Nothobranchius furzeri: one gene and its partner. The protein of the gene in region 2 purifies or fractionates together with the protein of the main gene of each other region. This does not show direct contact. Links are inferred from orthologs where the notes say so. Each region holds a gene or a part of one and is shown on either strand. Other genes may lie near its edges. The genes, in order: pstpip2 and ptpn18.

Region 1 (10,495 bases), on a different chromosome or scaffold from region 2:
CCTTTAAAAAAGAAGGCAATTAGGGACAGGAAGTTGGCTCCCTGGTTTAATTCTCATTTGCGAACTTTAAAACAAAACTTTAGAAAATTGGAGAGAACATGGCATTCTACACACCAGGAGGAGTCCTACCTATCCTGGAAAAATAGTCTTGTGCTTTATAAAAGTAAGCTTCTATAAAATTGAACTGCATATTTTTCAGCGCTAATTGAGGAGAATAAGAATAATCCAAAATTTCTTTTCAGTACAGTTGCCAAACTTGCACAGAATCATAGCTCTGAACCATCTATTCCCTTAGCCCTCATCAGCAATAACTTTATGGGATTTTTCACAAGTAAAATTAATTCTATTAGAAACAAAATCATTAGCATTCTCCCTAATGCAATTTCTTCTTCCTCAGTAAGTGAGGCAGCATCAGAGGTAACTGCAGAACCTCATCTGTGTTTGAACTGTTTTGATCCAGTTGAGCTTTCAGAGTTATCAAAAATATTAACTCCATCTACACCTTCAACTTGCATTTTAGATCCAATCCCAACCAAATTATTTAAAGATGCATTTCCTTTGGTTACTGCCCCATTCCAGATATAATCAATCTATCCTTAGTAAATGGATATGTACCACAGGATTTTAAGGTTGCTGTAATCAAGCCTTTACTTAAGAAGCCTTCTCTGGATCCAGATGACCCAATGAATTATAGACCAATATCTAACCTTTGATTTTTATCCAAAGTCCTTGAGAAAATAGTGGCCATCCAAGTATGTGAGCGTTTAAAAAACTAAAGATCTGTTTGAGGAATTTCAGTCTGGTTTTAGAGAATATCACAGCACTGAAACTGCATTAGTGAGAATTACAAATGATATTCTCATGGCCTCAGATAAGAATCTTGTGTGTGTTCTAGTCTTGTTAGATCTCAGTGCTGCCTTTGACACAGTAGTTCACAATGTTCTTTTAGAAAGGCTTGGACATGTTGTAGGGATCAAAGGAACAGCGCTAGGCTGGTTTAAATCCTACCTGTCTGGTAGATTTCATTTTGTAAATGTAGATGACAAATCTTCCTCATACCCCAGGGTTACTTGTGGAGTACCACAGGGTTCAGTGCTTGGACCAATTCTTTTTACTATATATATATATGCTCCCAATTGGTAAAATCATTAGACAGTATGGGATAAACTTCCACTGTTATGCTGATGATACTCAGTTATATCTATCCATTAACTCTGATTAACCTAATCTTAGTTAGATTACAGGCTGTCTGATAGATTTCATTTTGTAAATGTACATGACAAATCTTCCTCATACCCCAGGGTTACTTGTGGAGTACCACAGGGTTCAGTGCTTGGACCAATTCTTTTTACTATATATATGCTCCCAATTGGTAAAATCATTAGACAGTATGGGATAAACTTCCACTGTTATGCTGATGATACTCAGTTATATCTATCCATTAACTCTGATTAACCTAATCTTAGTTAGATTACAGGCTTGTCTTAAATACATAAAAAATTGGATGACTCAAAACTTTTTGCTTTTAAATCAAGACAAGACTGAAGTTCTCATCTTCAGAAATTTAGAAAAGGAAATTGCTTAGTCAATCACCTGACCTGAATGGCATTAAATTAGTCTCCGAGAACAAAGTAAGGAACCTTGGTGTTATCTTTGATCAGGACATGTCATTCAAATCCCAGGTTAAACAGGTTTGTTGGATTTCCTTTTTCCACCTTCAGAATGTTGCTAAGATTAGATTAATCCTTTCCAGAAGTGATGCCGAAAAACTAGTTCATGCATTTATTACATCAAGACTGGATTACTGTAATTCATTACTCTCAGGAAGTCCGCAGAATGTAGTTAAAAGTCTTCAGCTTGTCCAAAATGCTGCAGCTAGAGTTCTGATGAGAATTAAAAAGAGAGATCATATCTCTCCTGTCTTAGCTTCCCTACATTGGCTACCTGTTAATTTCAGAATAGATTTTAAGATCCTCCTTCTCACATATAAAGCTCTTAATAATCAAGCTCCATCATTCATCAGTGACCTGATTGTTCCATACGTTCCTAACCGAGCACTTCGCTCTCAGGCTGCAGGTTTACTGGTGGCTCCCAGAATATCTAAAAATAGGATGGGAGGAAGATCTTTTAGTTATCAGGCTCCTCGCTTGTGGAACCAACTCCCAGCTTTAGTTTGTGAGGCAGACACCTTGTCTACTTTTAAGAACAGGCTTAAAACATTTTTATTTGATAGAGCCTATGGTTAAAATCTGATGTTAGCCTAGATCTAGACAAGTGGGGGAGTAGAGGGAGGTGGAGTGTACAGTTGGTAAAGACAGCTCTCCCTTGCCCTGCCTCCAACATGCCTCTATCTAAAAGGCTAGTTTATCCAGAGTTATTTCTGTAGTTATGCTGCTATAGGCTTAGACTGCTGGAGGACACACTGACCACTTTCCACACTCTACTACTTTCTTCTACAATTTGCTCTTTAACTGTAATATTTTCTGCAATTTCAGCTGTTAACTGTATTTTCTCTCTAAGTGTTTTTCTTCCCAGAAGAAGCTACAATGATGTTCTGCTGAGCTGTGGTGGCCTCATAGAGGGGGCCATCGTCTTGAACACTGTTGCTAACCACTTAATCATTCTCCTTCTCCTGATGATAACATTTGACATTTCTTGACATTGAATGAGCTACTACTAGTTTACCCGTTTAATTATAGATTCACTAGGATAAATACAAAAAACTTTATAGCTCACCAAATAGAATATTTACTCAGAAATCACAATGTAACCATAGACACATTACTTGGTATATATGATGTGTGTGTGTGTGCGCACATACGTGCGTGCGTGCGTGCGTGCGTGCCTGTGTGTGTGTGTGTGTGTGTGTGTGTGTGTGTGTGTGTGTGTGTGTGTGTGTGTGTGTGTGTGTGTGTGTATGTGTGTCTGCTCTGTCTACTTGATCCCCAGTGAGTCGTGGAGGATGGCTGCTTATACTGAGCCAGGATCCTCTGGAGGTTTCTTCCTGTTAAAATGGAGTCTTCCTCTCCACTGTCTCTAAATGCTTGTTTAGCATGAGGATTGCAGTAAAGACACTGACACCAGTCAGTGACTTGACGCAATTTGCTGGGTTCCTTATATAGGAAACTTTTTTCTGATTGGCTTGATGAACTGTTTGGAATATTTATTATGTGAAGTGCCTTGAGATGACTCTTGTCGTGATTTGGCGCTATATAAATAAACTTGAAATGAATTGAATTGAGTCATGGACACTAATTTCTTCCTCTAAACACTTAACGCCCCTACACAGATTCAGATCTAGGCTAATCATGTGACTGAACAGGAAGCCAAAAAGCTGGTGGACAAAAATATCACGAAGAAACTGATAAATAGTCATTGGTTTCATTTGACAGCAACAGCTAAAGAATCTGACCAGGATCTAAATCCACCACGTCAGCTGCTAAAAGACAGACTTGTGCATTTAATTATCAGACACCTGAGGTAAACAGGGCAGGTGGAGCTCATAATAACAGTGTGTGGGCCCGCAGGTTGCTTACTTCATCTCATTATGTCCACAAACCTTCTTGGACAAACTGAGAAGATCTTTGGCATACTTCTCTTCCACTGTAGCCCTAAAAAGGAAATCACAACAGAGCACAGTGAGTCAAGATGTTACAAGCTCAAAACCATTTCATATTAATATGAAAAAATATACAGAAAAGTCACTCAGTGACTGTACAACATTGGCCTGGGTGACAAATCAATTTAATCAATTAATTCAAATTTTTTGTTTGGGTGATTTAAAAAAGTAAATCAAATTTTTATGTAATAACGTCTTTTTGCCCCCCCCCCCCCGCCCCCACCCCCCCCCCCCCACCCCCGAGCTTCCGTAGCATTTGTTTCACATAACCGCGACAACAACGTCACAGCACGCGCATGAAACAGCAACAGCAAGCGACTCCATGGCCACCAGTGAGAGTGGGATGTTTGTTCCTAAGAAAGGAATTAAATCATCCGTTGTTTGGAACTGGTTTGGATTTGCAGTGACGGACGTGGAGTGTGGCACTTTTATTCCAAGAGGGTGTTCATTTATTCATTATTCATTTCAGAAATGAGGGTTACATTTACCTTGCTTGTGATTAAATAAAAAACTAAATTGGCTTGAATGTGCCTTCCATTTATTCTTATTGCTATTCTTAATAATTGAAGGGGAGAGAGAATCGTAAAAAAAATTCATGAATCGAATAAAAAAATTAAATAAATTTGGACATTTTATTTTTAGGCTGTATCGCCCAGCCCAAGAACAACCTGCAGAAAACGGTTTATTTCATATTCAGTTTCTGTCCTACCTATCAGGGAATGGACACATTTATGAATTCACATGTAAGCGAATGAAACTATGAATGACAAAAAAGTGGGTCAAATCTCCAAATCTGAACAAGAAACTTCTTCTGCTCTCTTGATCCCTTAAAATGTTTTTAACCTGTTCTTCACATCTCTATAAGCATACGAAACTTTGTTGGGGCTCACATTGAATCAGGAGCCTTGATAACTGGTTAAACCCAACCTCATAATGTGTGTGTGTGTGTGTGTGTGTGTGTGTGTGTGTGTGTGTGTGTGTGTGTGTGTGTGTGTGTGTGTGTGTGTGTGTGTGTGTGTGTGTGTGTGTGTGTGTGTCAGATATTGGCAGCAAAACACCTGATTGGAGCATCCCTACTAATTTACATAGGAAAGCAGGTGGGAGATGGCACAGGCCTTTGATATGTTACATTAGACACACCAATCTGCCTTTAACTAAAACAACTGGGTTATGCAATGCAATTCTACAAGTTCAGTTTTCAATATTATGTTGGTTTGATAATTCACACAGATGGAACAAAATGAGTCTGGCCTTCTATAAAGTCACACATCAACCATAATGAGGCTTGGCCCCATAAGACAAGCCAACCAGAAATGTCCCCGCTGACTTATTCCACTACACGTTACTGACACTTCTGTTTATTTAACCGAGTCTGACTGATCAGGTGCCAAAACTCTTAATGATTAATGGAATTCATGGATTTCTCCACAGATCAGCTAAAGAAAGACCCAAACACTGGATGACTAAGTGTCAAAGTGTTTTCTTACAGCTTCTTTCATGCTCATGAGTGCTACTTCTTGTATTTTACAAACCACCGTGTTTCACTAAACCCCTTCAATTCTTAATTTAGGGAACTTTCAGTTATGTTATTATGTAATACCCCCCATTATGTTTCAGGGGGTTTAATGTCTGTGCAGATGTTTAGTGAACCGGGCCGTAACACAACTTTATTACTTATGAACGTCTGTGGAACAAATCAAGCTGAGATGATGTCAGTGACTGAAAACTGGACTTGGCTTAGTGTGTGTGTGTGTGTGTGTGTGTGTGTGTGTGTGTGTGTGTGTGTGTGTGTGTGTGTGTACTTTATATGCTTAAGTTGACAAACTTAAACTTAACGTTTAACCTGTAGTGTGTGAACATTTCCACATTGTGAGGACATCTGGCCAATTCACACAATGACAAAATACCCTTAAATGTGGTTTTAGAGGTATAGTGTGAACTAACGTTGGTTTAGGTTAGGGTTAAGGATAGAACAGCATTGGTTAGGGTTAGGGTCAGGCACAATGGGTTAGCGTTATGAACGAATGAACGAAAATCAATGACGGTCCTCACAAGGATTGCCAGACAAGAGTGTGTGTGTGCACGCGCGTGTGTACGTGTGTGTTAGAATGAGGACTGATTATCACTTCAGGAAGAAGGGATTTAAAACTCAACTTCATACAATAAAATGTATGTTTCATATTTGTAAGGACTACTATTTTAGTCTTAAATTTGAACGTTCGTAATTTTATGGTCGGGAATCAATTTTCTATCATTTCAGAAGTTCTTCTCACCCTACCAGGAAACATTAGCAGACATTTTTGTTTGGTTTTGATTTGAGCTACTTCCTTCCTCACGTCCTGTAAACGTTTTATTAAGCAATAAACTTTGCAGAGTCTATAGCTAGTTCATGTCCCTCCTGTTTTCTAGGTTTCATTTTCATGCAATCTTCTCTTTTTTATTTTTGCAGATTAATTTCCTAAACGCAAACATTAAATCTGCACAGATAACAACTGGCACATGTGGGCAGTTTCTGCAACACGCCTTGATCGTGTCATTACCTGGCTTTCATGAATTCTTCCACTTCCTTACACGTTCTTTTGCCTTCATTGAGATACTGAATGATGGCATCATAGCCAGCAGTAGAGGTCAGATCTGAGGTCTTTAAGCAAAACCAAAACCAAAAAAAAAAAGACAATCAATGTCCATGTCATCCATTTTATCATGAACAATAATTACAATTAAAACACAACATTTTCCTTTATTTAACACTTTATCCCAATGCAGGAATTTTCTGCATAAACACAGGTAATGATATATTTGGAATTTTATACCCTGAATGCAGCAGCCTGTAAACATGCTTCTTGTGTAGAATTTTCTTCACATCAGGTTAAAAAGTTTATTTCAAAGCTTAATTATAGAAACATTTACATTATTTTTATTCAAAAGTAGAATTTTATTAATTTCAATTTGTCACATGAAAGCTGATTGCGATACTTTATGACAGGATTTTCAGTAGAGAATGAAAGTCTACCTAAAGTAATTTTGAGCTAACTTCAAAATAAAACATTAGATAAATCACTCACCCAGAAGAAATCCTTGAAATGAAGGTTTTTCATAACTGAAACCGTCCAGCGGGTTTTGTTTGTCTGCCAGGGCGAATCTTCCTACTCTTGCTGTTTCCCTGAGACGAGAGTGAACTGTCTGATCTAACCAGTCATTTTAAAGAGCGCATGCGCACTGGGGATTACAAGCAAGCCAGAAAAATTAAGCAGTGATGAAAAAGTTTTAAAGAATGTGCTGCTATCTAGTGGAAGCTACTGGGGTTGCAGATAGGAAGAAGAGGGTCTAGGTTTAGGGTTTAAATTAAATTAAATTAAATTAAATTAAATTAAATTAAATTAAATTAAATTAAATTAAAAATAACATGGATTTTATATGGGTGAGTTGTGGCCCTCCAGCACAGGCAGTTGATGCAGAAAGGCACTTTTCCCCACATTTTTATTTAAAGATTTTTACAAGTCATACTAAAATAAAAATAAACATGTTCTCATTATGGAAAATGTAATCTGTCTTTTAGAGTTTGCAACATCAAAACATCAAAGCTTGTAACATTTGTCATGCTTTTTGTTTATTTTAAGCTTAATTAAATATTAGATATTAAACATTTGAATATTTAATGAGAAAAAATCTTTTGTACTATAATTGCGAGCTACACCAGCATTGTAGAAGAAATTCAACTTCTTGTCTAATTTTTGTTGTTTTTACTGTCAGTTACAACAGCTTGTTATGTAATGTCACAACATGGAGACTTTTATCGATGTACACCATCGGATGTGAGGAAATCCAGCTAGCGCACTGTCTCTTCTCTCACACCATGTCCAAAAACCTGGAGGGCGAGGTCATTCGTTACATCCAGACAAATGCAGTTCAGCAAAACATCACAGCCAAACAGAACATCTGGAGTACACGGTTTATAGAGTCTCTGATTAAAAAGGTTCATAGTGCATTTACGGTGAAAACAGAATCGCACACAACAGCATGATAACAGAAAACAAAAACACACTTTACAGTTCTACTATAAGCAGAAATGTGAACATGTGAGCAGAGAAATGGAACATTTTGTCACATTTCTTCTCTATAATAGCAGCTCTTTCATTTTTATATACTCTGTTTAGCTTTGGGAGTTTTTCATGTGTGAGTTCACGTGACAGCAGCCAATCATCAGCTGCCACAAAGGCCAGCCACTTACTTCCTCAATCCGCCTGAATACAGACCATCATTCAGTTAAAGGTGGACTATGGAACAATTTCATAAAAAGCTATATTTTAAAAAAATAACACCTCCATGGGGCGTTTAGAGATGTGCAGAGTGAAAGTATGGTATTTCCTTTAAAAGCTATATTGTTATCCCTCTCAGAAGAGGAGCGACCATAAAAGATCTAAAACCAGAGTGAGTTTAGGTGAAGCTACAACAGACGAACCTTAATAAGAAAATTCACGGCTGGAAACTTCGTTCTATTGTTGCAACTACAACCTCCACACACTAGATACCACTTTCGTGTTCATGTTCCATATTCCACCTTTAACTTTTAATCTGCTAATCCTGTTAAGCCAATTAAATAACGTTATGTCTTTCATCTGAACTCTTGGTGGTCAATAGATCAGAAAACTCTAAGTTGATTTTATGGGTTTAGAGTCCTAAATGGCAAATTTGTGTCTGAAATATTAGAAAAAAAGATTTGTCACAAACTATTTTAATCTTTTTTATTTGCCTCTCTTTATATCAACAGGTTTTCAAATGAGGCATGCAACACCAGAGAAGAGCAACAACACATGACGCATAAGGAAGTATTCTTAAGTATTAAAAAAACAAAACCAAGCCAAGAATGCAGAAGCAGTTTGAGATAAGTACACTTTTACTGCAACAGGTGCTGCGAATCAAATCCACATTACCCAGTAAGATTTAACTAGTCTAAGATGCTCTAAAAAAATAAAGAACAATGTGGTTTACAAGCAACAAATCAATTCAAGTTTATTTATATAGCGCCAAATCACAACAAGAGTCGTCTCAAGGCACTTCACATGGTAAACATTCCAATACAGGTCAGTTCATTAAGCCAATCAGTAAAAAGTTTCCTATATAAGGAACCCAGCAGATTGCATCAAGTCACTGACTAGTGTCAGTGACTTTACAGCAATCCCCATACTAAGCAAACATTTAGCGACAGTGGAGAGGAAAACTCCCTTTTAACAGGAAGAAACCTCCAGAGAATCCTGGCTCAGTATAAGCAGCCATCCTCCACGACTCACTGGGGATCGAGAAGACAGAGAAGACACACACACACACCAACACCAACGCCAGCCCACACACACACACACACACACACACACACACACACACACACACACACACACACACACACACACACACACACACACACACACACACACCATACATACCAAGTAGTGTGTCTATGGTTACATTGTGATTTCTTAGTAAATTCTATTTGATGAGAGATTAACTTTATTGTATTTATCCTAGTGGATCTATAATTAAATGGGTAAACTAGTAGTAGCACATTCAATGTCAAAGCAAGTAAAATGTTATTATCAGGAAATGAAGAAAGTTTAAGTGGTTAGCAACAGTGTTCAAGGCAAGCCAATGCCCCCCCATGAGGCTACCACAGCTCAGCAGAACATCATTGTAGCTTCTTCTGGGGAGAAAAACACTTAGAGAAAAAATTAAGTTAACAGCTGAAATAGCAGGAAATAATGCAGTTAAAGAGCAACTTGTAGAAGAAAGCAGTAGAGTGTGAGAAGTGGTCAGTATGTCCTCCAGCAGTCTAAGCCTATAGCAGCATAACTACAGAGGTAACTGGATAACCTAGCCTTTTAGATGAAGACATGTTGGCGGCAGGGCAAGGGATCAAAAATGTTTCAACTCATAACAAATTGTTTGAAACAGGAAGCAAAGAAATAATTTTTCTTTTTAAAACTTGAAAAGTTTTGAAAACCTTTGAAGCAATGTCCTTGCACACTATGAAATTTAGAGGAAATAGCACGGAAAATGCTGACAAGCACGATAGTGGAAGGGTGATGATTTGGGTAAATACAATCAATACAATCAAGCAAATGTGTAAATCAGCGGTGCCTGATCCGTTTCAGTATGTTTTAGGTGTTTCTCTACTCCAACACAATGGGTTCTAGGAGAGTAAAATGCTTCTGCAGAGCTTAATGACCTGCTGAAGAGGTAATGCAGCCATTGAATGAAATTTGTTGGATTAGGTTAACAAGTAAAAAAATGGTGGATAGCAACCCTCAAAGGCCAATAATGGGTATCCTGCGTAAATGATTCAAATACGACATAAAACTCAGTCAACCACCCACAATAACAAACAACACAAACATATGACCATCTAAATTAGTACTTTACTCAGCCTCGCTTATTTTACACTGAAATCAAAAGTATATACATTATGTTGCTAATTCACACACCCTGACTGATGCAACATGAATGCAAAATGCCCAGCCTTCACATCACCTGACTGAAGAATGGCGTATTTTTCTGGGACTTCCCAGTTCTGAGGACGTTGATCTTTTAGCAGTGGGGTAATAACTTCAAACACGTTTGAGATACCTGCAGCACTCTAACGTCTCACAAGATTTTCCATTTGATCTGAAGGCGATGGAAAGAATTCCTGCTTCTTCCGCCGATGATCACATGATGATTGTGCTTCCCTTTCCCCAAAAAACATAATTTGTGTGTTCTGAACATTGTGATAAGCTATTGCTGAGTTTAGCTCAGAAAAGGTAAAGCTCTTTGACTCGGTGTGCTGACTTCTGAGATAAATCAGCTTTATGGTGGGGTTAGGGTTCTTGAAAACAACAACTATCG
Region 2 (9,956 bases):
CCCCCCGCCCCCCCCCCAACACTTCCTCTTCTCCTTCTCACAGTTCTCTCTCTCTCTTGCTCTCTCAACCTTTCATTCGTCTCATCTGCTGTCTGATTTTAAGCTCTGGGACCTCCATTGTTGTCGCTGCCTCTCACTCTCCCCCTCTCTTCCTGTAGCCTCACTCATACAGGTTTCCATGGTAACGTGGTAACATATGGAGATGGTGGAATGACGACTGGCAGAAGAGGGTGAGAACGTGTTAATTCAACACCTCGGGGTGAAACGCGCCGTCTGTCTCTCTGCGGGTCGGTACCTGTTGATGGAGAAAGCCGCTGGCGTTGAAGCTTCCTTCTCAAGTTTCTTCACCTAATAACAAAAAATTTCTCCGTTCAGCTCGCAGCTTCTGTTTCCGGCAGAATAGTTTAAAAAGAACAAAAAAGGAAAACATGTTTCAACATCAGATCAGCGTCCTGGGCACGACACCAGGAACACAACCAGAGATCACAGCGTCGTCATCTCCTCTGGGAGGAAGGTGAGTGAACAGACCGTCATGATGGAACCACTCAGGGTCAGGTGGTCCATCAGACGCACAGCAGCAGCAGGGTACAGGGGTCCTCCGACCTCCTGAACAGCTCCTCCCATCAGATCGAACTGTGTGTGTGTGTGTGTGTGTGTGTGTGATGTCCTACCTGGCTCCTCTCATCTGAATGTTCTGGACAAACCTGTGTCAAACTGTGGGCGGCTCAGAATTTACAAACAGGAAATCAGTGTCACCACTTCCTGTTTCTGCAGCAGCTGTGGAACAACTTCCTCTAAAGTCACGACGGCACCTCCCTCCCAACCCCCGAGCAGCTCAGACTGCGTACCTCCTGCTGTTTCCAGTACAGCTGATCCGACTTCTGGAGGAAGCGTTCCAACATGTGGATGACGGCGCTGAAGATGAACTGGTACTGGTCCTGGATGGAAAAGAGAGTCCAGTCACACACCTGGAACTGGTCTGAGGTGGAGGAACGTTTCAGCAGCACCACCTGCTGACGTCCGGCCACCGCAGGTGCTTTAGCCGGGTTGGACGGGTCTCTGTTTGAGTGAAGAGTCCCTTTAATGAGCTGATCATGGTTCTGATGGTCTTAGAGACAGGCCCACTTCAGTCTGGATGTTGGAGGATCCAGTTTGACACACTGGATGGATCCTGGGTTCTTCTAGCAGAACCTCAGGAACTGTTCAAAGAATTTGGTGGGAGTTTAGGGTGTGAGGGACGAGGTCTAGCCTGGACCACTGAGCTCTACAAATCCTCAGAAAGCATTGCTTGAAGAACCATCTCCAACGAAAACTCAGAGAAGCAAATGGAACCGGGACTGGTCTGGACCAGGGACTAGTAGACTAGACTTTCAGAAATGGAACCCAGTGTCTCCCTCAGCATAAAGAGGTTGGACTGGTGGGGTTACACCACCAAACGGTTCCCGAGTGCAGCCGTGTCTGCAGCTCACCACTCCCCCAGGAGACGGGTCAAACGCGGAGAACAGGTTCACACACCAGAGTGACGACTAGCGGGTCCAGGAACTAGAGTAAGACCAGGGACTGGTGTGAGGAGCCTTCGTGGATCTGCCTACCTGGGTCTGCACTGCTGAAGGTCTCTGTTTCCGGAGCTCCAGGACGACCTTCAGGATGCTGAAGCCTTTAGGAATCTGCTGCAGAACCAACAACACAAAAGGGTGAAGAAAAACAAACGCCACAGAGGCAGAACCGCTCAGACGGTCTGGACCGAGTACCCATGTTCTAGCTGAGACTCTCAAGGCTTCATTTGGTTCTTTTGGTTGACTTGCTGTAGGAGAACCTGCTGAGCTACCAGATCCATGATGGATTCTTTAACTTCTTGTTGTGATTCAGGCCACGGAGGAACCTGGGAGCAGCTGGAGGACCTCCAACTGATCTGATGGTCCCAGATGTTTGCTCAAGTGGTTCCTGGACTTTCTAGCCTTTAAACATGAGGAGGACCCTATTTGGGTTCTGGACCCAGGCCCGAGTATTCGGAACCCTCCCAGAACCTGTCCTGGCTTACGTTTGTTTACGAAGAGATTTTTTTTAAATGAGCTTGGTTTGCAGGAGTTGTTATCATGTGTTACCGTGGCAACCAGAAGGTCATGGATGTAGTCAAGAGCACAGATGACTCCTGTCCTCCCACAGCCGGCACTATAACACACACACACACACACACACACACACACACACACACACACACACACACACACACACACACACACACACACAGACTCTAACAGATGCATTGAGCATGTTAACTGTGCCATCGTTAGCAGGTGTTACCTGCTGCATATTCACCACCTCCTGCTCTAGAGTGGGTGTGTTTGTGTGTGAGTGTGTGCATGTGTGTGTGTGTGTGTGTGAGTGTGTGTGTGTGTGTGTGTGTGCTTGCGTGTGTTACGCTGTCCTGTTAAATGTTAATGACCAGCTGACCTGTGATCAGTGCTGCTGCTACAAACAAGCTGCTGTAATGATACAAAGTCAACTGCAGTTCAGTGTGTGTGTGTGTGTGTGTGTGTGTGTGTGTGTGTGTGTGTGTGTGCACCTGCAGTGAATCAGGAGAGGTGACGGGTCAGCTCCACAGCTGCTTCTGGCTCGGTCCAGCAGGTCCAGAATTCCTGCCGTGTCAGAGGGAACGTCGTGATCTGGCCAGGATGTGTACTGGTACTGGATCACCGACTGGGTCTCCTGCAGGAGGACAAGAGGAGGTCACGGAGGAAGCAGCTTCTTTGTTTTACGTCAGAATTGGGATTGGACCTGCTGGTAGCTGACGGTCAGATTTCTGACCACGACGTCCTTGTTGGGTTTGGTCTCTCCCTGCTGGAGACACACAGGGACAGCCGGGACAAGGAGCTGAAACTGAATCTGACTCTTGTTGATTTACGTGTTAATTAAACATGACCTCTGTGTGACCTGTGGGTGAACTTACACAGCGGACAGTAAAAGGTCCGAACACGACTGGCTGGAGAGCTGCAGCCCAGTAACACTCGCACTTTCTCTGCAGGAAGGTTGCTCGGATGTTTAGTGTTCAGCTGTTTCAATCACACATCAAACAAACACGCATAAAACATGCTTTACCTTCCCCATCTCGATCTCTCTGCAGGCCATGACTATCACCTGAAACAGAGGGGTGTTAGTCAGAGGGGCCCGACTGTAAAAACCTCTGATTGGACAGTTTGACTGCTTATTAGTTTGTGATCATCCATTCACGTTAACACACACTTCAGAGATGTGGGTAGCTCATTTAATCAACACATGTGCAATGGTCTCTAGTAGGAATGAAGGCCTTGTGTGTCGTACTCCGGGGAAAAAGCGCCGGTGAGCCCGTTCCAGGAACTAGAAAGGAGCCACATCAGCTGAGCTTCAGACAACAGGATCGGGAGTCTTACTTCCTGATATTCAGATGTCTCTCCTCTGATTGGCTAACAGCAGCACGACTCTACCGCTGACTCTGTTTGCGCTGCAATGTTGATGATTTAACTCTACAGATAGCACAAGTCAAGAGGAGTTCTGCTGTGTGGTGGAGTTGCTAATGCTAACAGTGCTAGCAGAGATGTTCTCTGCTGTTTCCTGGACTAAACCAACGACAGCCTTCCCAGTCGTGAGTCCAGATGGGTGAGTCCATGAACATTAGGTGACAGTGTGACGTAGATCTGTCAGGATTTGCTAATCCTAGAGTTTCACCGTCTGTTTTCTATCAGAAGCTAATGCAGGAGATAGGTGTAGGAGACTATTTTCATGTTCAGCCTGCATGAAACCCTCAGAGTGACTTAATCATTTGAAGTGTGAACCACACTTTTAGGTTTCTGCTGCTCTGACATCATCAATCTTCTCCGGATGCAGTTGGACTGAAAAAAAAAACCCTTTTATCGTGTTAAAGGTATCAAAAACACATGTAAAAACATTTAAGTTGAGATTAAAAACACTTAATTATTCTTTAGCTTTATCGTTTATAGCTTTTATTGACTTTTAATCATTTATTGTACTAAATGATTTTTTACCGACTTTAGCGTTTCTCTATGTTGATTCTACTGTGTGATGAAACGCGTGTGTGTCCGCCACTTGGCCAGGCGTAGGAAAGGGCTTTATGAATAGGGACAGCAGCAGCTCAACAGGCAGAGCGGGTTGTCCTGTAGTCAGAAGGTTGCAGGTTTGATCCTGGCTCCTGAAAGAGAATGCTGCTCTTGTGTCCTTGGGCAAGACACTTAACCCGCCTTGCCTGCTAATGGTGGAAAGAGAGACTGGTGGGCGGCGCCAGTGCTCGGCAGCCTCGCCGCCATCAGTGCGCCCAAGGGCAGCTGTGGCTACGTTGTAGCTCATCCCCACCCGTGTGTGAATGGGGTTGGGGGTTGTAGAACTCCAAGAGGGTGCTACACCGGCCATTTTCCACAAATAAAACTGACTTGATTTGACTTAATAAATGTGTGTAAGAACCACAAGAACAAAACAAATATAAAACCTGAAATCAGTTAATTTTTGCTCTCTTCATGGATCAGACTACTTCCTGGACACCAACGGTTTATGTTGTGTTTCTGACCTTGATGTGATGTTGCCAGATCATCCTCCAGAAGTCCGTCAGGGTGGAGCTAAGAGGCCCCTGGCAGGCAATGTACCTGCAGTCCCCTGACGCCCCCTGCAGGACAACCAGGTGCATTACAAGCAGCAGCAGTTCAATCCGACAAGTGTGTGTGTGTGTGTGTGTGTGTGTGTGTGTGTGTGTGTGTGTGTGTGTGTGTGTGTGTGTGTGTGTGTGTGTGTGTGTGATGTTAGAGTTTTTGAGTCTTCGTCACCTTGATGAAGCTGGCATTTATATAATCAGAATGTGCGTCAGCGGTTTGCTGGGATAACACCACCCGGGTCTGATCATCTACACACACACACACACACACACACACACACACACACACACACACACACACACACACACACAGTTCAGATTTAGTCATAAGAAATTAAAAGTCCAAATTAACAATAAAGGCATTTTTCATTTTCTTTGTCAGTTTTGGCCATCTGAAGCAGACATGATGTTACGAGACAGACTCGGACAGAGACACAAGAAGAAGGACTTGACGGGAGGAAAGCAGGAGACCAGACGTGTCCTCGTACACGGCAGGATGTCTTTGTAACGATTCTTCTTGATGTTTTCCTTCAGAGCTCCGACTTGTGAGGTCAAATTCAGCTCTCTCTTTATCTGCAGAGACTGTGAGCGCACCACCTGTAATCACACACACACACACACACGCACACACACACACACACACACACACACACACACACACACACACACGCTTCTGTTATAGTGACATCACTGTGTCTTTGCTCTGACTTTGGAGTGGTGCGGAAGGGGGTGCCCCAGGGCTCGGTCTTGGGGCCACTCCTGTTTATCTTGTCCATCAATGACTTGGGTCAAAATGTTCCTGATGCAAATATGCACTTTTACGCTGATGATACAGTTATTTATTGTTGTGACACTTCAGCTTTTGCTGTAGTCCAGCATTCGCTTCATCAGGTAAAACTGGTCCTCGATGCTGAGAAGACTAAGCTAATGCTGTTGTCCAGCAGGAACGGGCCAGATGTTATTCCAGTGGTGACCGCTCTGGAAGGGATGTTGTCCATGAATACAAGTACCTGGGTGTCTTGATTGATGACTCACGTACTTTGAAACCACACACAAAGAAACTGGTGAAGAAACTAAAACTTAAGTTAGTATTTTTCTTCCGTAAATGTTGTGTTTTTCTTTTTTTCGAAGCATAAAAGCGCCTTGTCACTGCTACTGTTTTACCCGTGTTAGATTATGCTGATTGTTTTTATACGGATGCTGCTCTTGCTCGGTTCATCGTGCGTCTTTGAGGTTTATCACCAACTGTAGAGCCATGACACATCACTGTGATCTGTACCGATGAGTGGGATGGCCTTTGCCTCTTCAGCTCCTTCTGACTGGAACCTGCTGCAGAGTCTGGAAACCGACTGAACACGATTCCTTAAATGAATTCAAAAGCTGAAACCATCAGTAGTTATGATGATCTATGATATTTTACCGTTGCTTCTACGCTGTAACGGTTAAATGTCGCTGCCTCGCGGCCAGAACACCACTGGAAAAGAGGTTTTTTTAATCTCCTGGTTTAGAACCAGCAACCTTCTCACTGCAAGGCAACAGCAAAGTCAGTCCAGAACCAATTTGAAACCAGAAATCAGGAATGAAAACATTCCTGTCAACACACTGCTGTGAGTCAGAACCAGAACCAAAGCCAGAACCAGAACCGGCCCTGCCTCATCCGAACTGCCCGTTGCAACCTGACCCTGCTGGATCATGTGGGTCCTTACACTGCATGGAGACCCACTGAGGGTCAGCAAGCAGAAGAGTTGAGACTGGACCCACCTGATCCAGAACACGTTGTCAGCATCAGCAGGTCAGATACGTGTTCTGTTCTGATTGGACTTTTAACAGGATGATGGTTCTGAACCAGTTTTACTGTCAGATCTCAAATCTTTTTGCACATGTCGACATTAAGCTACTGTAAAAGTTCTGCTTCTTGTACCATCGGTCCAGAACAACGTCCTCAGTGAGGTCCAGAAGAGGTTGGACAAAGACTTCTGCACAAATGCTTAGGACCAAGTATACATGCAAATGATAAAACTGCTGAAAATGTTCAAACTGATGCTCCTGCTAACACACACCTGTATGCTCCTGCTAACACACACCTGTATGCTCCTGCTAACACACACCTGTATGCTCCTGCTAACACACACCTGTATGCTCCTGCAATACGTTCCTGCTAACACACACCTGTATGCTCCTGCTAACACACACCTCTATGCTCCTGCTAACACACACCTGTACACTCCTGCTAACACACACCTGTATGCTCCTGCTAACACACACCTGTATACTCCTGCTAACACACACCTGTATGCTCCTGCTAACACACACCTGTATGCTCCTGCAATACGCTCCTGCTAACACACACCTGTATGCTCCTGCTAACACACACCTGTATACTCCTGCTAACACACACCTGTATGCTCCTGCTAACACACACCTGTATGCTCCTGCAATACGTTCCTGCTAACACACACCTGTATGCTCCTGCTAACACACACCTCTATGCTCCTGCTAACACACACCTGTATGCTCCTGCTAACACACACCTGTATGCTCCTGCTAACACACACCTGTATGCTCCTGCTAACACACACCTGTATGCTCCTGCTAACACACACCTGTATGCTCCTGCAATACGTTCCTGCTAACACACACCTGTATGCTCCTGCTAACACACACCTCTATGCTCCTGCTAACACACACCTGTACACTCCTGCTAACACACACCTGTATGCTCCTGCTAACACACACCTGTATACTCCTGCTAACACACACCTGTATGCTCCTGCTAACACACACCTGTATGCTCCTGCAATACGCTCCTGCTAACACACACCTGTATGCTCCTGCTAACACACACCTGTATACTCCTGCTAACACACACCTGTACGCTCCTGCTAACACACACCTGTATGCTCCTGCTGTACGCTCCTGCTAACACACACCTGTACGCTCCTGCTAACACACACCTGTATGTTCCTGCTGTACGCTCCTGCTAACACACACACCTGTATGCTCCTGCTAACACATACCTGTACGCTCCTGCTAACACACACCTGTACGCTCCTGCTAACACACACCTGTATGCTCCTGCTGTACGCTCCTGCTAACACACACCTGTATGCTCCTGCTAACACATACCTGTACGCTCCTGCTAACACACACCTGTACGCTCCTGCTAACACACACCTCTATGCTCCTGCAATACGCTCCTGCTAACACACACCTGTATGCTCCTGCTAACACACACCTGTATGCTCCTGCAATACGCTCCTGCTAACACACACCTGTATGCTCCTGCTAACACACACCTGTATGCTCCTGCTAACACACACCTGTATGCTCCTGCAATACGCTCCTGCTAACACACACCTGTATGCTCCTGCTAACACACACCTGTATACTCCTGCTAACACACACCTGTATGCTCCTGCTAACACACACCTGTATGCTCCTGCTGTACGCTCCTGCTAACACACACCTGTATGCTCCTGCTAACACACACCTGTACGCTCCTGCTAACACACACCTGTATGCTCCTGCTGTACGCTCCTGCTAACACACACCTGTATGCTCCTGCTAACACACACCTGTACGCTCCTGCTAACACACACCTGTATGCTTCTGCTGTACGCTCCTGCTAACACACACCTGTATGCTCCTGCTAACACACACCTGTACGCTCCTGCTAACACACACCTGTATGCTCCTGCTGTACGCTCCTGCTAACACACACCTGTATGCTCCTGCTAACACACACCTGTACGCTCCTGCTAACACACACCTGTATGCTCCTGCTGTACGCTCCTGCTAACACACACCTGTATGCTCCTGCTGTACGCTCCTGCTAACACACACATGTATGCTCCTGCTAACACACACCTGTACGCTCCTGCTAACACACACCTGTACGCTCCTGCTAACACACACCTGTACGCTCCTGCTAACACACACCTGTATGCTCCTGCTAACACACACCTGTACGCTCCTGCTAACACACACCTGTACGCTCCTGCTAACACACACCTGTATGCTCCTGCTAACACACACCTGTATGCTCCTGCTGTACGCTCCTGCTACCATGTTTGGTCCGCTGTATTTTTCAGGTGATATTTGTGTTTTCATGTTGGGGCTCTCCAGAGTTCAGAGATCAGATGAAGTCATCTGCCATGAGGGCCTGAGAGGTCCTAGGTCCAACAGCAGCTGTTTTTGACCTCCAACCTCAGCCTATTTGAATCTCATTATAGCATAACAACTGCTTTCTGTAACTTTGCTACAGTTTACGTGATTAAACTGATCCAGGGATCCGAAAGAAGGCTGTGAAACAGGAAATAGGGTGTTTCAGATTCAGCTGGAGTCATGTGACCAAAATTGGTGTCAAAGCTTCTGGTCTAGGAGCCTGATTTACATGTTTTACCTTCAGTCAGGTTCTGGGTTTACTGGCTGCAACTCGTTTGAATAAACACACACACACACACACACACACACACACACACATACACACACACACACACACACACACACACACACACACACACACACACATACACACACATACACACACACACACACACACACACACACACACACACACACACACATCTTCAGCATCAGGTTCAGGGTAGAGATAAGTTGATTAACTCGAGACGTTTGCTTGAGGCAACTTGCAAAGGTTAAGTGCTATTTGCCGGAAACTGCCTTTGAACTTGTTATTCATCTCTTTGTCTCCTGTCGACTAGATTACTGCAATTCCCTGTATTATGGATTAGGGCATTCCTCCTTAAACCGCTTGCAACTGGTTCAAAATGCAGCAGCCTGCCTTTTAACAGGTACAAGGAAGCGTGCTCACATCTCTCCAGTGCTCGCTTCTCTACACTGGCTGCCAGTGCGTCACAGGATTCAGTTTAAATTGTTGCTTTTTGTTTATAAATCACTTTACGGTCTGGCCCCTCCTTATATAGATGATTTATCGTCACCTCACACTCCTGCCAGGATTTTGCGGTCGGGCTCAGTTTTTATTATCAGTTCCAAAGGCTCGCCTAAAGACGAGAGGAGATGGGGCTTTTTCTGCCCCCCCCCCCCCCCCCCCCCCCCCCCCCACACACACACACACACGCTGGAACAGTCTTCCTCTGCAGATCAGGACCTCACAAAGTCTGGATATCTTTAAGTCCTTGCTTAAAACTCATTTATTCAACCTGGCTTTTATGTAGGATGATTTTATTTTGTCACTCTTTCTCATTTGTATAGATTTTATAGTCGTGTGATGTAATGCTGTTTTTGTCCTAACTTGCTGATTTTTATGGTTTTTAGTTATATTTGTTTGTGATTT

The links.
Region 1: the proteins of ptpn18 (region 2) and pstpip2 purify together in Homo sapiens (affinity purification with mass spectrometry; 4 studies listed by BioGRID and IntAct, with this or other methods). This does not show direct contact. The link is inferred for Nothobranchius furzeri from reciprocal best matches to the Homo sapiens genes PTPN18 and PSTPIP2.

Annotation. Positions count from the first base shown.
Region 1 is NC_091746.1:59,936,342-59,946,836, forward strand, and holds the start of pstpip2 (proline-serine-threonine phosphatase-interacting protein 2), read right to left. Parts: upstream 6,844-10,495; 5' UTR 6,718-6,843; coding exon 6,685-6,717; intron 6,261-6,684; coding exon 6,160-6,260; intron 3,612-6,159; coding exon 3,537-3,611; intron 1-3,536. UniProt on the Homo sapiens protein: Binds to F-actin. May be involved in regulation of the actin cytoskeleton.
Region 2 is NC_091755.1:47,281,406-47,291,361, reverse strand, and holds part of ptpn18 (tyrosine-protein phosphatase non-receptor type 18), read right to left. Parts: intron 5,237-9,956; coding exon 5,128-5,236; intron 4,889-5,127; coding exon 4,812-4,888; intron 4,655-4,811; coding exon 4,559-4,654; intron 3,139-4,558; coding exon 3,100-3,138; intron 3,020-3,099; coding exon 2,951-3,019; intron 2,842-2,950; coding exon 2,779-2,841; intron 2,710-2,778; coding exon 2,567-2,709; intron 2,173-2,566; coding exon 2,106-2,172; intron 1,671-2,105; coding exon 1,593-1,670; intron 939-1,592; coding exon 849-938; intron 349-848; coding exon 254-348; intron 1-253. UniProt on the Homo sapiens protein: Differentially dephosphorylate autophosphorylated tyrosine kinases which are known to be overexpressed in tumor tissues.